Saccharomyces cerevisiae S288C: one gene and its partner. The gene in region 1 interacts genetically with each later gene. Each region holds a gene or a part of one and is shown on either strand. Other genes may lie near its edges.

Region 1 (3,571 bases):
CCAAATGTGGCAATACGCGATATTTTTTTCGTTCGTGTTTAAATAAAGAGCAATATAACACACCCTTCACCATTCTTGTAGAACATCGTCTACCAGTAACACAAGTAAAAATGGCCAGCGAAACACCAAGAGTTGACCCCACAGAAATCTCCAACGTCAATGCTCCTGTGTTTAGGATAATAGCGCAAATCAAATCACAACCCACTGAATCTCAGTTGATTTTACAATCGCCAACCATATCATCGAAAAACGGCAGCGAGGTTGAAATGATTACGTTGAACAATATTCGTGTATCTATGAATAAAACATTTGAGATCGACTCGTGGTATGAGTTTGTTTGCAGGAACAATGATGACGGCGAGCTAGGATTTTTGATTCTAGACGCTGTACTATGCAAATTCAAGGAGAACGAAGATTTAAGCTTAAACGGTGTGGTTGCTTTACAGAGACTATGTAAGAAATACCCAGAAATATACTAGCTAAAATCGCTTTTATTCTTACCTTTATGTACTGTTGCCTCTATATGTCTTCCCTTCATATAATAAATTCCATTTCTAAAAAAATTGTAGTTGTGTTTATAGATGTATAGATAGATAAATGAATGTGTACTTGCTGCCTTAACGCCTTCCGCTAAAAACTTTTTGATATTTATTTTATTTTTAACCTTTCCTGACTTCAACCCTTACTGTAATGATGATAGTAGAAGCCGTCTATTTTTCATACTTTTCTCATGTTGATTTTCCTTGCAGACAAAGACAATCTCTTGGATGGTTTGTACCAACCACCATTATCTGAAGGCATAGATGCAGGAGTAGCGTAGTTTACTCCCGATGATATCGTATAAGACCAGCCAGGAGTTATCGTAGTTGCTTGCTCTGGCAATGACCCAAAGGTAGAGTAATATGTCACAGCACTAGTGGCAAATTTCCTTGTCCATGTGGTAGCGGTCACTTTAGTATTTGGCTGCATTTGCATTGGAGCGAAACGCGACGTACCAGTCTGCTTGGTGTACGGAACAGTAAATGAACGACTGTCAATAGTAGTGGCTTGGGCGTTGTTTGTAGTGGTTGTTTGAATAGAAGTCTGGGGAGTAGGTTCAGTTGTGGCACTATATGTATAAGCCGTAACACCGCCCATGGAAGTCAACTGGAATCTTGGTGTATAATGGATAGTGTAACCTTGACCGTCCACCTGGGCAAAAACTTGAATGTAATATTGACCGTTCCCAGTTAAGGTCGAAGCAAACTCAGCTGTGTAAGAGTAAACTTTATCATCTTGTGTTAGCTCACTTGGAGTAATTTTACTGGCAAGTACGGCCACACAGTCAATGTTGTTATTAGGACCAGTACAAAGACTGAACGTGAAAGTTGAAATCTTGCTTAACGAGGGATATGCCCCATTATCCATCCATTCAACGGGAACAGAGACAGTACCACCACTTGGACTGAATGTTGCCTTGGAGCTGGGGGAAACAATATTCACATCTCCCAGCACAAATGAGACTAAAAACACCAAAGCACATATGATGGAATTTCTTTGTAAACGCATTATCTATAATATGTCACAGTTGCTGATTCTCTGAGAAGGAAGTAAAAAGCGAAAGAGTAGATTCCTAGTAATCAAAACAAAGTGTGAACTGCCACTTTTAGCGCTTCTTGGAACTATCAAACTGGAGCAAATCTGGCTTCAAGAATGCTTTGAGACTCCTGTTCTATTCCTGTATTATCCTTGAAGATCTTTTTCGAGGAAAAAAAAAAAGAAATGTAAATAAAACACCTAATCGTCAAAAGTGATATTATATTGAACCGCCGTGGTTACGATGGAATAATGGTCAATACGCAGTTTAGATGGCATCCAACAATTCAGGATGGCCAATGATGTTATTTTAGTTTGAATTGATTACTTTTGAGCTAGTTTAAATTCGATTTAAGAGCCATTAAGTAGGCATCACGAATAACGAGGCCGGACGTTTGGCGTTTAGGCCATTGGCGAAAAGACGAAAACAAACTATATCAGATACGCAAGAGGAATGTGTAAAGGCCATGCAAGGCGCGATATATTGGTACATCGAGGCGCGTTCAGAGACCAATTGTGATACGGTTTGCAAGCATGGAGAATACACTGGGTGAGGGGTCCACGGTAAACGCTTCCGTGGACGTGGACCAACATGGCAATGACAACAATAGTGATAGCAACGCTAATGCAGCTGTGGCAGGGGTTGCCAATACAGATACTGCTGGTGAAGAATCGCAGCAACAAGATGAGTCTCTGAAGGATGAAGCAACTGTTCCGAACACACGCGATGCAGAAAGTGAGGCGATAACGGTAACGGCAAAGCAGCAGCCGACTATGCAAGCGAATAAGCTAGATTCCCAGGAAACACCTTCTACAGAAGAAAGCAGGGCCCAGAACGTCTTTGGCCAAGATAATGAGGATAGTGATAATCTCTTTGGCGAAACCGAGAGTTCTGTTTCGAACAATGAGGCAAACACTCCTAGTATACCTACGAACCCGGTAGACAATGAAAACAATAAGCCTGCTATTAAGGAAGACAGCACAATACAGGATTCAAATGGTGACGTTAAAAACATGGAGGACGTCAAAATACAAAAAGAGGAAGAACCAGAGAATAACACTGTTATTGAAGGTGTCAAAGAAGAAAGTCAGCCAGATGAGAACACAAAGGAAATGGATGAAGTGGAAGAAGATGATGAGGATGACGATCAACCGATGATTAGTCCTGATAATTCCATTTTTGGAGACACAAAGAGTGAGTCTAAACAACTAGGCAACACTTCGTCGGTTGCTAATACTCCATCTGAAATTCCAGATGCGCATAAAGCTGAACAGGAGGATATCATAGAAAAGACGGAAAGTGTAGATAAGAAGGTAGATAGTGGCGAAGAGAGAAACGAACAGGAACGTGAAATCATGAACGATCACTCCAAAAGTGCCAATCCAAAGAAAACCACTATCACCAGAGTAGAACCCGAAACTTTTGAGATACCGCAAGCACATGAAATTGTTATTCCAAGTTATTCTAAATGGTTCAATCTAGAAAAAATTCATTCCATTGAAGTTCAATCGTTACCTGAATTTTTCACCAATAGGATTCCATCAAAGACACCTGAAGTTTACATGAGATACAGAAACTTCATGGTAAATTCTTACAGGCTGAACCCCAACGAATATTTCAGTGTCACTACGGCGAGGAGAAACGTCTCTGGTGATGCTGCTGCATTATTCAGATTGCATAAATTCTTAACAAAATGGGGGCTAATAAACTATCAGGTTGACTCCAAACTATTACCTAAGAACATCGAACCCCCACTAACGTCTCAATATTCCACAAGGCATGATGCCCCCAGAGGACTATTCCCATTCGAAAGTTACAAACCATCTGTACAACTGCCGGATATGGCAAAGCTTAAAAAAATGATGAACACTAGTGATTCGGAGAGTACTTTATATAAATATTTGAAAGAAAGCAAAAGAAAATATGATGAAATAACTCACCCCCCCAGTACCACTGATGATGAAAATGGTGACAAAAATGATAATGGTGGTAAAA
Region 2 (4,569 bases), on another chromosome or scaffold:
GAATCATCCAGAGCTTTAGAAGGGAGCAAAAAATAAAATCTGCGCAAGCCCGGAATCGAACCGGGGGCCCAACGATGGCAACGTTGGATTTTACCACTAAACCACTTGCGCTTGTTATTTACATGAGTGTGGTACTTCTATTGATGGTAGGTGTTCCATTACTTTTTTCGTCTTAAGATGAGCGAGCAAACACAGGGAGAAAATAAAGCGCAATTATTTACCTCATAGGGTACACAATATCCGTGAGAAAAGGATGAATTTGAAATAATTATACAGACTCCTTTTTTTTCAACGTAAAATTATAAGCATAGATTAGAGGCGCTCCTGGATAATAATAGGAACACACACAAGTAAATCAGCAATTTCTCATATCGTACTTATTCGGTAGAGTTAATAATATTCTACTAAAATAACTACTGGTAAGTAGTGAGAGCTTGATTTTTGTACTAATAACTTGTTTCAAAAAAAAAAACGAATAATCAGTTTTACAAAAATGTGTATACCTATATAAACAATCTTAGAGGTAAAGTTCTCCCTCACTAAAAATAATAAAAAATTACGTGCAGATGAGAACCCCGTCTTACCTTAGTATACCTTTAGTTCCCTTTATGACCCGATTTGAACGATAAGTCTTTTATATTTTATTTCTTCCTAAAAGAAAAATGTATGCATTGTAAGTAACTTTTTATGACCATGGTAATAATTAAAGCCGAGGGCTTGTAGATTTACCATCAAAATACCCGCTTAAGAGGATAACTTGAACTTCGAGCTAGTACATTTACCAGTTAGGATATTCTTAGGGAACGTGTAACCAGCATCTTCCCAAGTAGTTAAGTTTGCATTCTGGAATGCATTTAAGTGCGATTGAATATAATCATATGTTGGATAGTCACTTGGATCGCATGTCACGGATATAGCATTACTTGGTTGGTATATTCTAACATAGTCAATCGACATAACCACTGGGAAGAAAATATACTGCCAATCAATATAAGCCCAATTGTTGGAAATACCCAGATTTAGAATAATCGACATTGGTTCTTTACTGATTCTTCTCCAACCAATATTACCATCAGGATGTAAGGCTTTAGCATGAATAGTATAAGTTGGAGTATCACCAACAAACCAACGGATATAACCATTGTCGTCATCGTTCAGATACTCAATGGCATATTTTTGAAAGTAGCCACCGTACTCACCGAATTCATACCAAGTTACGTTCAAAGTTGAGACAGCAGATACGGCTTGTTGAAATGGACCGCCAGCATAAGTGTTCATGGTCGTTGTTGTGAAATTGTAAACCTCGATAAAATCATAGTCAGGCATGTACCAGATATCAAAAGGTGCAATTTGCAAGGATTGAGAGGCTATACCTACACCAATCTTAGTATCAGTTTCACCTTCCAAAACATCAATTTCTGGAGCTCCTCTACCAACACCTTGATTCGGATGATCTTCACCATCACAAGTACAAATACTTAACTTTTGTCCCGGCAAGTAAGAAATACCATCCGGGGAACTTTGGTTGGGTGTAATACCAGCATCACACGATTCATAAGAATAAGGCCAGACACCTTGGGTACTAGCCAAATAACCGGGCCTCCCTAAATTACCCATAGTCCAAAGACCGGGCCACAAACCTGAAACACGGCCATAATTTGGTAGATTTGCAGAGATTTCTAGAGCACCCTGCGTGAAACAAACCTTATTCCAACTCTGCAACATACCTGATCTGTAATATAAGCCATGGTTCTTAAAGGCATCCATTCTCAGCTGCAAGGTTCCGTTCACAGTTGTGGAAGCGTCTGGACTGTACCATTCTAAATCCTTAGTAGCATCATAGTGAACATCAGGGGCTGTCCAGTATGGATCATCCCCATCATAAAATGTTCTGCCTTCTGCATTAAACTCATCAGAAAATACTAATTCCCACTTAGAGCCATCCATAGCTTCTCTTGTCTTCGCTGTATCAGGTGTGTCTGGGTCAACCAGAGATGTTCTAATGGCGGATAGTTGAGGATATTGGTATTGAGTTAAATATGTAACTTCTTCAGTGTTGCTTTCGTGATCAATAGCACCGGTAAAGGTCAACGCTGGCAAAACAATAAAAATAAAGATGGCTGCCAGAAACAAGAGCAATACACCAGCTAGCCCACTAGCAGACCTTTTATCCATGTACTTGAAGTCATCTATGAACCTCCTTCTATCCAGTCTTGCCTCTTCTTCGGGGTCAGGATTGTGTAAATAATCATCTTCTTCCTTTTCATCTATCATAAGTGGGAACGATGAAGCAGGATACCCACCAAATGGAGAAAAATCTTGCTCGCCCAAAAACGGATTAGAAGAGAATGAGGCGGACGACTCGTTTCCTGGAGATGATGTTGGCGAGCGACCATGATGGTTCAGTTGAGTCATAGAAGTGACTCTGGAACCCACTAAGGGATATCTATCAAATTCTGGCGGTGAGAGAATATCATTCTTCGATAAATTAGAATTCAAAGAAGGAGAAGAGGCTATAGCTCTATGTGGTGGCTGAAGAAATGAGTTATCATTAGCCGTACTCACAGCTCTACTATTGTTCCTGGAATAGTAACCTTTGTAATCAGATACACCTTTATTTTGACTTAGATCTAGACGAGAATTGTCATGAAGTAGTGAAGAGTCACTCCCCTGTGGCTGATAATGAACAGAAGAAGACAGAGATTCTCCATCCCGCGCATTAGATTCTTCGTCACTCCCCATAAAAGGGTTTGTGAGACCAGCATTATCGTTGGTGCTATTGTCATTTTGTTGTCCAAAAGAAGGAGATGAGGAAAGAGGAGCACCATCATGATCGTCGCCTGTACCATCTGTGTCCAGGTTTGTGCTACTAAAGTTGTGCGTTTCAGTTAGATTTCTCAAAGGCATTAGAGTAAAGGAGTGAGTGGTATACCTATTCTGTAAACTTTAGATGATTTAACGAGAGAAATGTTGTGCAACTACTAACTTGCCTTAGTAGAAAAATTCTAACAACAATATATTTATAGACGATAAAGTAATGAACACTAGTACGAGAGGACGAATACAATAACAATATGCAGCTTTCTCGAGCACTTGCAGCAATACGAAAGCTTTGGACTGAAAATAAAAAAAGAAGAAAACGTTAGTGATTCTTAAGTGCTTCTGTAAGCTAAAAATATTTTAACGGTTGTTGTTTTCGACGTTCCTAGTTAAATTTTATCAGAAGCTGTTTTATTCTGTGTTTTCACCAAAAATAGCGTTAACTTTCATCTGATCAGGAATATGAAAAAAAAAAAAAAACTGTCCAAATAGAGCGTATGTGATCTGAAGTCTAGAATTTACCGCTTCAGGATGATTCTTTGGCGTTTTGCGGGTAAAACGCCTTTCAGATCGCGTCACACTTGCAGGCTGAGAGGAAAAAGAAAAGAGGGGAATGAAAATCACTAAGCCACAAAAACAATAAAGATAATTTTATACGAAATATACATTTTGTATTCCATAATCAAAAATTAAAATGGACGAGTCCGGAATCGAACCGGAGACCTCTCCCATGCTAAGGGAGCGCGCTACCGACTACGCCACACGCCCGAATCTTGTTGTAAATTGTTGTATTACGGGCTCGAGTAATACCGGAGTGTCTTGACAATCCTAATATAAACAGTCTTAGGGAAGTAACCAGTTGTCAAAACAGTTTATCAGATTAATTCACGGAATGTTACTTATCTTATATATTATATAAAATATGAATCATACTAAGTGGTGGAAGCGCGGAATCTCGGATCTAAACTAATTGTTCAGGCATTTATACTTTTGGGTAGTTCAGCTAGGGAAGGACGGGTTTTGTCTCATGTTGTTCGTTTTGTTATAAGGTTGTTTCATATGTGTTTTATGAACGTTCAGGATGACGTATTGTCATACTGACATATCTCATTTTGTGTTGGAATAAAAATCCACTATCGTCTATCAACTAATAGTTATATTATCAATATATTATCATATACGGTGTTAAGATGATGACATAAGTTATGAGAAGCTGTCATCGATGTTAGAGGAAGCTGAAACGCAAGGATTGATAATGTAATAGGATCAATGAATATAAACATATAAAACGGAATGAGGAATAATCGTAATATTAGTATGTAGAAATATAGATTCCATTTTGAGGATTCCTATATCCTCGAGGAGAACTTCTAGTATATTCTGTATACCTAATATTATAGCCTTTATCAACAATGGAATCCCAACAATTATCTAATTATTCACCCATTTCTCATGGTAGCGCCTGTGCTTCGGTTACTTCTAAGGAAGTCCACACAAATCAAGATCCGTTAGACGTTTCAGCTTCCAAAACAGAAGAATGTGAGAAGGCTTCTACTAAGGCTAACTCTCAACAGACAACAACACCTGCTTCATCAGCTGTTCCAGAGAACCCCCATCATGCCTCTCCTCAACCTGCTTCAGTACCACCTCCACAGAATGGGCCGTACCCACAGCAGTGCATGATGACCCAAAACCAAGCCAATCCATCTGGTTGGTCATTTTACGGACACCCATCTATGATTCCGTATA

What was found.
Region 2: mutations in KRE9 (region 1) and KRE6 are lethal when combined (synthetic lethality), as found in Saccharomyces cerevisiae (one study listed by BioGRID).

Annotation. Positions count from the first base shown.
Region 1 is NC_001142.9:93,069-96,639, reverse strand, and holds KRE9 (Kre9p), read right to left. Parts: upstream 1,549-3,571; coding exon 718-1,548; downstream 1-717. Other genes in the region: RFA3 (Rfa3p), read left to right, coding at 111-479; SWI3 (Swi3p), read left to right, coding at 2,110-3,571. UniProt on the Saccharomyces cerevisiae protein: Involved in cell wall beta(1->6) glucan synthesis.
Region 2 is NC_001148.4:855,921-860,489, reverse strand, and holds KRE6 (beta-glucan synthesis-associated protein KRE6), read right to left. Parts: upstream 2,908-4,569; coding exon 745-2,907; downstream 1-744. Other genes in the region: YPR159C-A (uncharacterized protein), read left to right, coding at 75-176; YPR158C-C (gag protein), read left to right, coding at 4,233-4,569. UniProt on the Saccharomyces cerevisiae protein: Involved in the synthesis of (1->6)- and (1->3)-beta-D-glucan polymers of the yeast cell wall in vivo. It is required for full activity of beta-glucan synthase in vitro.